Drosophila melanogaster: one gene and its partners. The protein of the gene in region 2 interacts with the protein of the main gene of each other region in a pairwise test. Each region holds a gene or a part of one and is shown on either strand. Other genes may lie near its edges.

Region 1 (3,084 bases), on a different chromosome or scaffold from region 2:
GCCGTACTTGGCAAAGTTTTTGGCCTTCATCCTGCCGCTTGCCACTTTTTTAACAACCACCCACATGGCACGCCTACCCACCTGCCAGCTATTGCCTACCTGGTTTGGTAGCCTCGGCTCGGCTTTTGTCTTATCAAAGTTTTTGGCGCGCATGTGTTTATGCCACAAATGGCACTTTTGCGGCAGCGCATTTTATTTTTTACTGCCACTTTTCGCCATTTTGCTTTATCATTTTTATATATATTATATGTGTCTATACAGAAACAGTGCCAATAGGCTTGGTTCTGACCAAAGTTCAACCTACCATTGTTGCATTTGGACAACACTGCGTATACTCTATTTATAAACCCGAACAGTGGATTTAAATTTGTTCTAATTGAAATATTTTCATGGCTTGTAATAAGGAAACTTATTTGCCTGATTTGTAATATTTTTAATGGATTCTTTGCCTTTACTGCAGTTCTTAACTGTTGCTTTACACTGGTTAAAACAACAGTGCTCCCACTTCCCCTTTCCGGTTTTAAACAACCCTCCCAATAATAAATCTGCGTGAACCCCATTAACCCTTTAGTTATGTTCTTGGAGTCGGAGGAAAGTAACGACTCTATTAGTAGAGGAATTTAAATTGCCGCCTAGTTCGTTTTTATTATCCTCGAGGAGGGAATGGAACCTCCGGCGTAAGGTGCGCAAGCCAACTAATGACCCTGTATTTATATGACAGGGGAAAGTTTATAAATATTTATGGGGTGCTGCTGTTGCTTACTGTTGTTGCTGGCTTTCATCAAGCTAAAACTCATTTGCTTATTTTAAAATTCCGAGCAGGCGTAGTTTCATTTTTGACACCCGGCATTCGTCGCCGGTCCCCCAAAACCGATGTTCCCCATCCGTTCCTTTTTTAGGGATCTGCCGCACGTTGTTGCCATTGTCACGCACACACGTACTATATTTTTTACGCGCATATCATATTACACCCTCCAAACACACAGGGACATTCCCTTGCCTTAAAGGACCCTCCGACCAACCGACCAGCCAACCAACCAACCCCTTTCCCAACTGGGGATGCTACGGGGATCCATCGAGGTTTGGGGACCCAGTCGAAGTAAATAGAATCACGTACACTAATTATCATCGCCATTGCACGAAGGGCGCTCAAAAATATATATTTTTATTAATTTCAGCAAGGTAACGCCGCTCTAAAAGCCAACCAACCACCTTACACATACCCCATCTGCGGTGTTGGGTGAAAATTTTAATTGAGATCTCCGCTATTTGATAGCAACGAGGAACTATTCGCCCGAAATTGATGTGGCCGCTGATGCTGATGGGGCCACTCGAATGGTTGGTTTTGAATGCAAAATGCGTCGTCGGATATAGTTTTGAGTGCTCAGATAAGGTGGCATATATAATTAGCTGCCCCATTTGGCATTATGCGACATTTGTGTGTTTCAAGTTTCCCCCGATAGTTTGTGTAATGTGAGTCATTCATTTGATAAAGTCATAGGGGAATGAGAGTGCCGAACACGAGTTTAATTAAAGTGCTAATCTGACTCCAAGTAAAAGTAAATAACAAAGAATAGAGTATAAGATAAAAAATATAAAAATATAACCAAATATATAGACATCTTAGGGCTTGGAAAATGATGATGACGTTGTTTGTTGAATTGCAAGAAAAATAAACATCAGATAATACAGTATACAGCAAACCCGATAAAAATTATCAGTATATTATCAGATTTTGCATAACTTGTAAGTTACAAGAAAGGCCTTTGTTTATTTGAACAACAACGCTTGAATGCAGCGAATTCATAAATAAAATCATGTAATAAATAACCTATCGATTTTGTAGTTTTCTATCATAAAGCTGGTTAGACAACCAAGGTGGGACCCCAACGAATCGCTAGGTACTTCACACAAATCGCTGGCCACTGATAAGAGTTCCAGTTGCTTTTATCTATAGATAACACCCATAGCAGAGATTGCCGAGAGCGCGGCTATAATAGCACAATCCCAACAATATGACCAGTGCCGAACTAAACGCGTGCGGTGCAACAAGTACATTTTATAATTGAAAACAACCGGATTACAACCAATCGAAATGGACCACAGAACTCGCGTTGTGGAGGTGGTGCAAGTGCCACCCCAACCCTCGACCACGGTGATCGTGCAACCTCCTCCGCCGCCGCCTCCTCCCAAGGATAACAGTTGCTGTTGTTGTCCTTGCTGCCCCTGTTGCTGTCAGTGTGGCGAATGCTGTTGCTGCTGCACCATCATGTGAAAGACGAAGGTGCCCGCAGGCAAAGGACCTCAGAACCCCTAATTCGTTACGTTAAATTAACTTTCTATGTCTATGGAGGCCGCAAACAATTCACACAGTTTTTTCGTGCAATAAAATTTTACGATTCGTTATAAATAACTCTGTGTAGGGCTCACACTGTGGTTGCCATTTTTTTTGTGGCGAAGGGAACACGCTTGGTAACATATTGTCTTACATAAATCCCAATGCGAAAGTACCACAATATAATAAAAAGCCAAATTTAATAACATCCCACAAAAATTTGTAGTTTTATGATGCGCGAGCAGGGGGACAATCCTTTTTGGCTGCTGGAAATGCTCACCACATCATTTCAAAGTTAGTTCACATTCCGAGTTATTATTTATATGTTTCTCAATTTGCCAATAAAAGCGGAAAATGTGTCAAGAGTGCTGCCAACTCCGGTTCCAGGCCCATGCTGCTCTCATTTGATAAAGGATTTTATGACTCTTGGCTCTTGAATTGCAACCGCAGCGTCGGAGCTCTCGCCCCAAATATTTTGACGAGGGTCCCCAAAGTGGGACATTATGTGGGCGGGAGTCGGACAACGAATGCGAGTGCCTTTTTCCAAAGTTAGTAGTCTGCTCATTTAACATAATTTCTGACTCGCAATGCTTCTTTGCCAAACGTTTATCTAAAGCCCAAACCTTATTACTCATACGCACTGTGATAATTCAGACGGAAAACCGTGGTATTGATATCGAAGTGAACAGGCTGAAAAAATCCCATAGTTTAACAGAGTAGGAAAATTTAACACTTTTAACCTGTTTTCC
Region 2 (3,597 bases):
GAGAGTTCAAATGGGGATCAGTTCAGCGAATTTCTCAGCGACGAGGAAGTGGGCAGCGAGGAGGCCGACGACGAAGACCTCGACCAGGACTTCAGTAGACGCAATAAAAAGATGAAGACCTTCCACGCATAGCCGCTGATCCAATCCAAAGTGCTGCTTACAGGCGTGTTCCGGCTTCCGTTTTCACCGACATTCTGAATTCTTACGTGGATTTAGTTCAACTTTGAGTTGTGTTATACGAAAGCAATAGCCCTCGAAAAGTTGTGAAGGAAACGGTTCCAAATTCGAATTAAAGTGAAAATTAAAATTATGTGGAAATGAGAACAGTAACAAGTCCGATAATCATAATCATCATTAGCTGTAAGCCCAAAATGTAACCCACCCAATCGACCTTAATTTGTATGCGTGCGTCTTTTCTACTTTCAACAAATTGTCACTCTGTGCGCAAAGAATAAAGTAAACTAGTAAGTACATATTTTTAGAAAAAAACAGGGGCTTCTTGTTGATGAATTCTATTATGGAAATTGGAAAATATAACGGACCAATTGAGTAACATGAGTGCTGCTTTTGAAGAAGTTTATAAATGATAAAAGGATTGACATTTTATGCGATTAGGGCTAAATAAAATCAGCAATTTTTGCAAGTAATTTGATCACTTGATACTGGAACCTTCCCTTATTTATATCTGGAATCTCCTTTTGCTTATTACTCGAGAACTATAAAGAACGAGCTGAAAAAACTTTAACGTACGTATCTGTCTTTCTAATATTGGTTTGAACTTAAGAAATATATTTAACTTTATGGTTTTAAGCCAAAAGTGAACCGCATTCCGAACCAAATACAACCTTCGACTACACTAAACCATACAAATATGTGGGTATATATTTTATAAAATTACCAACAACTACTTAAACTTTAGGGTTATCCAGAGGATTAAGAACACGACGAGGATGAAGAGGAACATGTAGCACATTTGGCGAGCACCACCGCCCTGTTTGGCCAGTCGCACCACCCGCGTCATCGCGTTGCCCAGAAATCCACTCGTCCGGTCCATGTCGTCGTCGATGCCGCGCAGCAGCTTGTCCTGGTAGCGCACCTCATTGCCTATATCGATGGTGAGGGACTTCAGGGCCCCGATCTTCTGCTTCAACTCCTCCGCCGCCTGCTCGTTTTCCGCCTCCAAGGCGTCGTGGCTCGCAGGATGGGGCCCTGAAGGGTGCTGGTTTAGGGGCTGGTACGGGTAGTTGTTGCGGCGCATACTGCTCCCCGAGTGTGCCAGTTTGGCATCCGGATTGCTGCGGATCGGGTGAATTTAACGAAATTAATTAATTATAAATTAATACAATGCTCACAAATCTCAGTTTTCGAAGTGACACGTAAACGTAAACATGTAATCTCACCCAGCGGCAGAACAGCTGTTGGGATATACGCTTCTTGGCTCAACCTTTGTGGTTGACTGTGCATTGACCCTTGACCTCGTGTTGTGATTTCCAGAATCGGTTGACTAATGCCTCTACTTATTAAACGAAACTTTTTAAATTCTCATGCAATTCAATTTTTAGTCGCCGAGCAGTGTGACCAAAGCGGAGTAGCAAAATTATTCCGTAGCAATGCGTGTGGCAGAGATTACGATTTTCAATTAACCCATTGCTTGCCAATACGCTTTTAATATCGTAAGTTCTTTCTATAAGTTTCCAAAACTTACTATATATATATATATATATTGTTTTAAGATTTCATAAAAATTTGATTAGGGAAATCGGGACAGACAACGAGACAGTCGGCGGTCGGCAAAAATTCACCTCCAAATAACTAAAAAATAAATAAATAAAAATCGTCCCCATGTTCAAAATTCCACAGTTTCACCATCGCCGCTAAAAAAAAATTTGTATTATATTTAGGTGTTCATTAAAATATGGTACGTACAGTTATTATTACACATATTATGTGTAAGAATTATTAGTTTATTATATATAATGCAAAAACAATATTAGTTTAATATTAATTAAATAGTAATTAGGCAATTCAAACATTATTTGTAATTATTTCAAATAAAATAAATAAAATATATTCATAAAAATATGGGACATATGTAAAATATGTCAAAGAATTATTTAATAACAATGCATAAAATACTGTTATTAGCAGTTCGTTTTAATATGCAAACAAATTTAATCAAATATAAATAAAGCATGTTTTTAGTAGATAGTAAAAACATATATGGTTATATGTGGATCCTAAGTACTACTTTTAAATGTTAGAAACAGTGGGTTAATCCGTGTGCCTATTACTGTTAGAGTCGGGTAATTTCCGTGCTCTCGCCTACGGCCACACTGCTCCAGTGTTAGTAACTTAACTTTAGGTAATTTTGGCCATAATTTGGCATGCCGCTCTCGATTTTGTTGCTCCCGCTCGCTTTCATCAACTGGCCGTGAAATCAATAAGCATAAAATATTCAAGTTCGTGCGGTGGCAAGTGCGTCATTATCGAGTTCACTGGTTCGCCGAGATAATGCGACCTTTGCATTTGAATTTTCATTGACCCTGACCAAGTGCACTCGTTTGTTGTTGCTGTTGCTCTTCCTCTTTTCTTAATCAGCCTCCCCCTTGCCCCTTGACGCACTCCTTTGATGATCAAAAAACAATCAGTTTGCGTAATATGCGCCAATGACAACAGCAACAATTACGGCGTGATAAGGACTGGAGCGCAATAACCCAGCGAATCCGAATCACGCGAGTAGAGTTCACTGATAGCACTGCAACTCTTTTCTCTTCTAGATTTAGCATGGCGGAATTCGAGGAGGACTTGCCCCACAATGGCCTGATGGACGGGATCGCCTCGGGAGTGGGCGTTCCCGTGGAGGCACTCCGGCTGCTACTCACCATTCTGGCAGGTAAGATGCCCCAGCAGCAGTGCTTTTTGGTAGGGACACTGAATACTCGAAGTATCTTAAAGTCAAGTGATTAAGTTAAGATATTTTCTCCGGATATTTATATCCGCATATCACGCAAATTCATTGCACATATACGTTATACATATGTTTGCACAGGTGTTTATAAATTATGTACCTATCATTGAAGACTGTGTTATTTTTGATTTTTTTTTTGTCAGTGGTCATATACAACTTGCATGGTTTTAATTGAAATGTATCGTTAAATGAACTTTTTCACAAACTGCTTAGTAACAATAAGATTTAATGCTTAACAATGTTCCTAAATAAATTACAAACCCCTTTAAAATTTTACCATGACTCCCAAAATTCCATAAAAATGTGACTCATTCCTATTAGATAGGAATTTGATTACAGTCAGGCTATGCAAAAACGTTAACTAAACGTGAAAGAATCGTTGAAGCTTCCAAATTAGTTGAAAATGTTTACTACATGATTTAAACTTTGTATTGCTAAATCAATCCAACTAATGTATATAATTTGTTTCAGGTTATCCGGTGGCAGCATTATATCAAAAATTTATTTCTGTTATTGCCGATAAAACAGTGCATCACATGTTCTTTGCTGGATGCGGCGCTGGATTGTGTTACTTTAACTATGGGCTCGACACATATCACTCACTGATAGCCATCCTAACCACCTATTTC
Region 3 (3,009 bases), on a different chromosome or scaffold from region 2:
TTCCGTTCTGGATTCCCTTTGTAGTGGGTTATGCAGATGCATATTCCTTAAGATATAACAAAATGTTGCATCACAGCTGCCCAAACACTGGCCTCTAACGGAGCATTCGGAGATCGGAAGATGGAAAACGGAACCGTTTTAGAGATCATATCTGTTCGATATTATAATTTTTGAGTTTTTACTGTTTACATAATCATTATTGTTTTAAAAAACATTGCCACAATAGATTACCAAACCTGCATTTCTGTAGCGTACATTGTGGAGCTCGATTTACAGTTGTAGAATGCTGTTCTTAAAATTTTGAATATGGTTTTAAATTGTTCTGTATCCAAAGACAACTGCAGTTTTTTTAATTTCACATAATACGTTGGTATTTTAACAACAAATAATGTTAATAAAATTACTAAATGGGCTAGTAGGCCAATTCCATTTGGCCTGTGACTTCCCAGAAAACTGTAAGGCTCGAATCTCCGGAATTCGTGGGAAACCCATGGTCGGATCGCGTCCTAGAACGGAATGGCCAATCCTTTCGCATAATGTGCCCACATTAACACCACATCGATCTAATCCCATCTAAATCATTTATAAGCGACAACAATTACCGTGGAAATGAAGATTTCATTGGAAATCCCGCAGCAGTGGCAAACAATATGCCCAGTATTTACATTTACAAATTATATATAATGTCTTATCCTGCAGCCATTTCCCGTCAAATGATCCCCGATAACCTTCTCGGGAGTGAGAGCAATCAATCGAGTGCAACACGTTCTAACGATTTACATGTCAAGTTGACGAGATTTGTCCTGTTGAACAATGGACTGGCGCTTCGTGTGTGTCCAGGTGTCCCCTCATACTTAAATGCCTGCCCATCGATTTCGGTTTCGATCGGGGTTTCGCTTTCATTTGTCACTGCTGTCTGACACCTTGTTATGCGGAGATATCCATCGAGGGCCCGAATGCGAAGACTTCCCCCTTTTTCGAGCTAAGCAAACACAGTTGCGGCAGTTTCAAAATTTCGATTATGCTCGCGTGATAATTATGCATGCAATCGTAAGCTTCCCTCCTGAAGTAGTTTGACATACGCAGTATAAAATAGTATTGGGTCTGGAGTTCTGGTTTGGTTCGGCTTGGCTTTATCGGTCGACGACAATCGGTCTCATTGTTTCCGTTTCCCACCGTCTGGCTTTGCCTTTGTACGAATTGCGTCTTTCGAATGGCCCCATCCCCATCCCAATCCGAATCCCAATCCCCCGTCCCCTCCCCATTCTCGAGCCGAAGTTGTCCAGCTGCGGCAGTAAATTTTATGGTTAACTACGGTCCGACATTTGTGCTATTTAACCTTTTTGTGCCATTGAGCTTCGGGGCAAAAGATCCCCGATCCACGTGCGACTCTGTTTGCTCTGACTCTGGTTCATATGCTAATGGGTGTCTGGTGGGGGCACAAACAAAACCAAGTACTTCTTACTTACAACCTGTAGTTTGAAATTTGAGTTCCTGGACATGTTCTCCATGATTTTAAATCTACTAGGTATGTAGCAAGCTTAGTCGCACAATTCACAACAAACTCTGGAATTGACAGACACAAAACTCATAATTTCCTTATACATATCGAGCGACGCCAAGTCACATATAACTCATTTGTAGAAAATAAGCAGAAGGCTTGAAATTTAGCAAATTCAGTTTTTAATTTCGGCCAGTGATAGGAAATCCTGCCAGTGGAAAAGTGCAAAGATGGAGGAGTATTCGCGGGAACCGTGTCCCCATCGCATCGTCGACGACTGCGGAGGAGCCTTTATCATGGGCTGCGTTGGAGGCGGGCTCTTCCAGGGACTCAAGGGATTCCGGAACGCACCACAGGGACTAGGACGCAGGGTCGCCGGCAGTGTGGCTGCCATCAAGACCAAATCTCCGGTGATAGGTGGAAGTTTCGCCGCCTGGGGTGCAGTGTTCAGCATTGTGGACTGCAGTCTGGTCCACTTTCGCCAAAAGGAGGATCCCTGGAACTCGATAGTGAGCGGAGCAGTTACTGGTGGAATTCTGGCCTCACGCAATGGAGCGGCGGCCATGGCTGGAAGTGCAATTATCGGTGGCGTACTGCTCTCAATGATCGAGGGCTTAGGCATATTTTTTACACGTTTCGCGGCGGAACAGTTCCGAAATCGTGAACCGCATATCATGCCTGATGCCAATGAAGGATACGGTGACTTCAACTCTTCCGGATTTGGATTTCCGGGTGCTCAGCAGGCCACTGCAACTAGCTAAATTCCGATTTTTCTTGTCTGGGTATATTAATACGTAGTCCTTTTTGATTTTCATAAGTGCTAGATTTAGCAATATTCCATTTGAAAAATTCGATGACAATAAAATATGGACAAAATTGCAGTATTTCCATTTAAGCTGTTTTTGCAAAGGAACCAATTTATTAAATTTCAAACAATTTAACACGGATTTATAATTATTAAAATACAATTAGCTGCCGTTTGCAGCTCGTTTTGGAAGAAGGAACAAATGCAATTGGCCCTCTTATCGTTCTCCGTGTTAATTCATTCGTATTCATAATCATTATTGCCTCAACAGGTAGTAGGTTGTTTCACACTTGCCCGAATCCACGACAAAGACACCTGACACGTGTCATAGGTCAGCGTGAGATATTGGCAAATGTTTACCTGTTCCAGATGACTACCTGCGATGCTGCGCCGGCGCATAGAGTCAAGTGTCCGGTCGGCGGGTGTGGCCACTTTACAACCTGTCCACTCGAGATGACCGCGGTGTTCTGGCCATTAGACTGAGTGAGGTACTGAGTGGCACTGGCTACCGGCCACATGTCCTGCTCCTAGCTGGAAAGTCTCGAGCGCACTCAAATCAGAACTTTTCCCCCGCAAGGCAAAAAACCAAAGGCAACGCCGATTTCCCAGCAACACATGGACGGTGGGAAGATGGGAAGTCGAGCCCAGTTATAAAATCGTGGGAAAACGCCGCCTACAAGGAAATCCCTTTTCGGCCGACATG
Region 4 (5,590 bases), on a different chromosome or scaffold from region 2:
CACAAATATATCCAGTTTAAGGGCTAATCCAAAGCAGGCAAATATATAGTCGGTGGGCTTATCCCACTTTCCTCTCTTCAAGTCGGGGGAAAAGGGTTTGTGCCCACTATCATACGATGTTTCATATATCATTTTGTGACGTTAGTATAGCCCGGTAAATTGTGTGAGCAAAGGAATTTGAAAAACTTTTGTATAAAAAGAAATATATCCAATTTCACACGCCGATGGAGGTACTTATTATTAAAAGCTTTGGCAAACAACAAACATTTCGCGAGCGTTTTAAATTGACGAACTAATTAGTAGCAGCGATGCGGACGAACTAAATCCGATTCCGCTGATAAACCGCAGTGTAGCTGATTCCACTGGACTGAGATGCTCATAGCCTATCCCGGACCATTCACACTAGATCGGCCATCAAATACACTTTTAAGAAATAATGTTAAGCATAATTTTTTGAATAAATAGTCGGTATTACTTTGTAATACTATGTAATGTGAACAAGTTCAAACAGACAGTAAGAAGATCCCTAATAATTTAATGTAATATGATGTATATTAATTTGGATATGTTAAAACAAACATCTCAATGAAACTAATACCGTTCCTAAAAGTAGTGAGTCACCGAAGTGGCATTCTGAAATTAAAAGGCATTTCTATACACTAACATGACGTCAATAAGAGTACTTTGCTTATAACCATAATTAATCAATAACTACATTAATAATTACACGTTTTTAAAAGCTCTCTCTCTCTCTCGATAGACAAACTATGTAAGCATTATAATTGTGGACGTCACAGATTTTTTAAGCTCAACTTTATTAACTTTTCCGAGATATCTACGTTTCTCTGGACAGTCACACGTGTGAACCTGATCGATTCAGGTGAGATAAACGCTGTAAAACCCATTGCTGTAAGCATAGTGCAATAAGTGTAGCATTTCCACCTTTCACAATATGATTGTATATATATGCATACCTTTTTTTAAATACGCATTAAAATTACTCATATATTTATATTTAGTACATTTCTAAGTGCATCAGTAACTAGTTGACCTCCTCAGTAACCTCGAAGAGTTGGTGGGTCATCTCCGTGTTGTCCACAGCTTCCTCGTACTGCTGGCGGTGCTCCATCTCAACCGGATACCAATCGGTGGGTCGGCAGGTGCGTTTAAAGCGTTCGCAAAAGGTGCCCGTGCTCTGGTAGAGGTAGTAAAATCCATATCCAGGAATGGCCAGAATGGGCAAAACCACGAGGACAATTGACATCACGAAGACCACTGTTGTGGAATAAGAGTGCTCCGATATGGACAGAGCAATTCCCGCGAGCTAGTTAGTTAAAAGAATATGATTATTCAAAGCAACAAGCAACTAACTAACTAACTAACCAGACAAATGACTAAAATTATTGGAGCTATAAAGCGGAGTATGAAAACCTTCCAGGAGGCAAAGGGCTGGCCCAACATGAACTCAATATCTCGCTGGAATCGTTCGCGACCATAGATCCACAAAACCACCAAAAGGAGCAGTAAGTGCAGCAAACTATGTGAGAAAATGGCATCAAGACCCAAGGCCGAAAAGAAAATAATGCCATGCTAGAAACGGAAAATTGTTTAAAATATTTCTTAATAATATATCTTTTTTGTGTAAACTTAAGTACTTACATTGGTGCAAAAGTAAAAGGAGCAGAGTGCAATACCTCCAATTAGCCCAAAGGTCACCTCTTGTTTTCTCACTCTAAGTACTTCGAACTCATCAAACAAACTTTGCAAAACCGTGAAGATTTGCGTCGTCTGAAAATAAAATTATTTAAGTTTAGTAGCGTGAAAAATAAAAATTAATTGTGTAGATTATCATCACCATCACAATTAGAGCAGCAATTAAAAGCATAGAATAGTATATAAAAGTCCATAGGTTTGGCCAAGCCATTGTGGACAAGGCAGAAGCACTTGACAAATATAGCAGCCAATGGCTCAAAACATGTCCGTTATCATCAACATCGGATAGTTCTGAAAGGGATAACTTCAATACAGTAAAGATATTGCAAATCTATAAAGTGCTATTACCATTAAAGTAGTGTTCCAGCATAAAGGAAACCATGCCAAACATGATATAAATGAAGATCTGTCCAAAGGAAATAATCCAACTATACGACATGATGTCAGTCTTGAAACCGTTGAAACTGGACAGAGTTATTACACTGCCCCAACCAGCTCCGAATGCATGAAGAACCATGATGAATGTGGACACTACTCCCATGGCCATGTCACTTGCCTTTGGAGTCACATATCTGTGGAGCCCGTTAAGAGCTCCCGGAAGGAACAGGAATCGCACAAAGCACACTAAAAGAAGAACCAGGGTAACAATCACCATGTAGCGTATAAGTTTTCCAAACTTGGCCGTCTCTGAGAATTTATAAAAAATAAATGCAATCACAACCCAAATGATTGCGAATAGGCCAACAAAATGCCAAGACAACTCGTAATCCTTATACCAATCCGGAACCGCATCCTGTTGCATGCTATCATAGTGATTTCTGTAAACATAGAGTTAAAAAGAAATTATTTTTAAACAATTCTTAAAATAATATTAAAATATTTGCATTGGATTAATTAGGTAATGTTTTATTGCTATATAAATAGGAGCACTTACTGAAAATAGAGCACGGATGGTACATGGAGCAGCTGGTGAGATCTGTTGTATTCCGAAAAGTCCTCCAAGATCAGTGTCTTATTACAAGACTTAAATATAAAAAATGTACTTAGTCTTCAATTCAATTTAGTCATACACAAATTTCATACACTAGATAGCGTTGCACTTCCATTGTGCCAAGAACTCAAGCCCTCACAGCTCCAAGGTAAAGTGGGTCGAAATGAGTTTATTATGAACAGAAGTGGAACCGCAGCAAAAATGCTATAGTAAATTAGCATGGAGATAGTTAAAAATCCACTCACATATCCCATGCCTGAAATTGATATTTCGATCAATATTTAATATCTGTTTAAACTTCTCGGTTACGTACGTACCTTTAAAGAAAGGCGACAGGCGAAAGGCGGAGATGAATCCACTGCTGGAGAACTGACCCATGAAGGAGTGAATGACCATGATGGGAACCAAGTAAATGGACATATATACAAAGTACGGCAGTATTCCAAGAACTGGTCCAAGCAAATAGTGTATTTAAATAAATGCATTCAAAGATAAAGATTAAATTCTGATGTATAAACTGTTATCTCTTGTGCTGTATAAAGAGACACAATTATTACATTAAATACATAAATATCGACAGAATTAGGCATTGTTTTGTATGTATGTCAGATGAGAAGGTAAGAGAACATTAGCAGAGCACCGCCCCTCCACAGATTAGTCTAAATCCGAACCTTATCAGCAATATAATATACGTAGTCGCCCTTGCGTTACTTACTGCCCATGTCGAAGAACATCCAAAACGATGCCACAAAGACATCCAACTTCAAGGCTAATCCAAAGCAGGCGAACATAAAGTCCGTTGGCTTATCCCATTTTCCTCGATTCAGATCGGGGGAAAAGGGTTTATGCCCGGTATCATACGATGTTTCATATACCATGTTGAACTACCCACAATATTACCGCCAAAATGTGGGCGAGAATGGATTTAAGCAAATTTTGTAAATAAGTATATATAACTACGATCTAATTTTACACTCCCGCAGAGGTAATATTAGTATATATATATTTTTTTTCTGCAACCGATCCGCGAGCGTTTTACTCTAAATTGACGGACTAATTAGTAGAACCGATGCCGGCAAACTGAATCCGATTCCGACAGCAGGCCTCTGTTTAGCTCATCCCTCTTGAATGAGATACCCCAACTTAGGCGATGCACACTTGGTCTTTAATCACACAGTTATTACTATGGAAGTGGGGTATCTTTATACCGAGATTCATTTGAAACCTCCCTCTAATTTCAAACAGATCTGTTGTCAAAATAAAGATATGCTAGGAAAATATATATCTAAGCGAGTTATCTATAGTTTCAAGCTTTCGGTTATCAAAATAATTGTAAATTTGTTATTACACGTTTTGTAAGTGTATTTCCGATCTCGACCATAAATTTGCATTTATTGTTATTTTGCTTTAAATTCAGATTATTAGAGCTCTTATATCTGTGCCTGTCTCTCTTATGTGCGCCTATCGTCGTGCATTGCCAAGTTCATTTCGATTTTGGAACTGGAAACTGATATGGTCGTGCTCGGGAAATGGGATGACAAACAAGACAGCCGCAAAGTTATCAAATCTGGGGGAAAACTCAGACAGCAATGCAAAAGCAAGTAAACCCCATAACGCCCTGGCTGTTGATTTCAATAACGCATTGATAATGTCTTAATATTTGTTTTTTCTTATGTTTGTTTGTTATTAGCGATTAGTTTTAGGTAATAATATACAATTACCTCATATATTTTTCAAACTATTATTATTTTGCATGCATTTAAAAACATGCTTCTAACAATCTACTCTAAACGTCATATATTCTATAACTAAAATTCCAAAATTATTATTATTATTAGTGCGACATTAAATAGTTTAAAGTGCTGACAGCCGTATATCATAAATTTAACTCTTTTCCTTATACGTTTACCAACTTCAAAAAAAGACTTCAACATTTTCAATGCCTAAAAGGTAAAATTTTATTAGTTCATAACAATATTTTTGGCCGAAGCTTGTTGAACATTTTAGTAGGAAACTACTAAATATCACCAGTATATTGTTCACTATAGCTAGCTTTTGGAAAATATCAGTACAACTTCATTACAACAACTAACAATCGCCATTGCCAATGGATCCGCTTATTTATATACTAGTGTGCGTGTTTGTTATTGTATTTTTTGCATGTGTGAATGTGACCGCATATGGGTGTATAATAAAAGTGAGTTCAGTTCAGTTCATTTGTCAAGTGACGACGCTGTAAGTATTGAGTTTTGATCTAGGGAGTATTCGATATTTAGGCACTATGTGGTGTTGGCATTGGCATCTATAACCAGCATCTCCGAGATGCCCATGATTTCCTCGTAGAATCGCCGGTTGTCCGCATCCACCGGATGCCAGTCATGTGGTGCGAGGCACTGTTGCAATCGCTGGCGCCAATCGCCATTCGTCCGACATACCTTGTAAACCATATAAGATATGGCCGTTAGGAGAATCAAGCCCTGACTCACATAAATCAGGACATCGTGTATGCGATCACGCGTAAATAAATAGGTTAGTTGAAACTGCAAGAAATTCCAATAATATCAGTCATTAACTATATACAAATAATTTTATAATAATAACCACTACTCACCAGACACAGTCCCAGAAAAATGGGCGTGGCAAAGCGTATAAAGAAAATTTTGAAACTTGAGATCGTTTTGCCTAACATAAACTGCAAGTCGCACTGGAAACGAACGCGTCCATAAACCCAAGTGGTCATCAGCACAAGGATTCCCGAAATAAGCAAGTGTGTAAACACTGCCAAATTTGGCAGCTGAGTCAGCTGACTAAAGCCCAACTGAAATGGATAATTATGTATTACAGTATGCTCTCAGAAATGAAAAGAATTTAAACTCACCTGAGTAC

What was found.
Region 1: the proteins of Bet1 (region 2) and CG34198 interact in a two-hybrid assay, tested with the Drosophila melanogaster proteins (one large-scale study listed by BioGRID).
Region 3: the proteins of Bet1 (region 2) and Tim17b2 interact in a two-hybrid assay, tested with the Drosophila melanogaster proteins (one large-scale study listed by BioGRID).
Region 4: the proteins of Bet1 (region 2) and CG13795 interact in a two-hybrid assay, tested with the Drosophila melanogaster proteins (one large-scale study listed by BioGRID).

The regions. Positions count from the first base shown.
Region 1 is NT_033778.4:19,681,911-19,684,994, reverse strand, and holds CG34198 (uncharacterized protein), read left to right. Parts: upstream 1-2,017; 5' UTR 2,018-2,095; coding exon 2,096-2,275; 3' UTR 2,276-2,549; downstream 2,550-3,084.
Region 2 is NT_037436.4:19,259,411-19,263,007, reverse strand, and holds Bet1 (blocked early in transport 1), read right to left. Parts: upstream 1,615-3,597; 5' UTR 1,353-1,614; intron 1,296-1,352; 5' UTR 1,259-1,295; coding exon 905-1,258; 3' UTR 571-904; downstream 1-570. Other genes in the region: Max, read left to right, coding at 1-132; nes (nessy), read left to right, coding at 2,785-2,893, 3,440-3,597.
Region 3 is NT_033779.5:15,483,106-15,486,114, forward strand, and holds Tim17b2 (translocase inner membrane 17), read left to right. Parts: upstream 1-1,623; 5' UTR 1,624-1,731; coding exon 1,732-2,262; 3' UTR 2,263-2,440; downstream 2,441-3,009.
Region 4 is NT_033779.5:7,722,514-7,728,103, forward strand, and holds CG13795 (uncharacterized protein), read right to left. Parts: upstream 3,786-5,590; 5' UTR 3,583-3,785; coding exon 3,420-3,582; intron 3,154-3,419; coding exon 3,022-3,153; intron 2,961-3,021; coding exon 2,797-2,960; intron 2,737-2,796; coding exon 2,648-2,736; intron 2,532-2,647; coding exon 2,062-2,531; intron 2,005-2,061; coding exon 1,856-2,004; intron 1,789-1,855; coding exon 1,660-1,788; intron 1,591-1,659; coding exon 1,384-1,590; intron 1,325-1,383; coding exon 1,043-1,324; 3' UTR 532-1,042; downstream 1-531. Other genes in the region: CG13794 (uncharacterized protein), read right to left, coding at 1-132; CG13796 (uncharacterized protein), read right to left, coding at 4,984-5,244, 5,316-5,522, 5,583-5,590.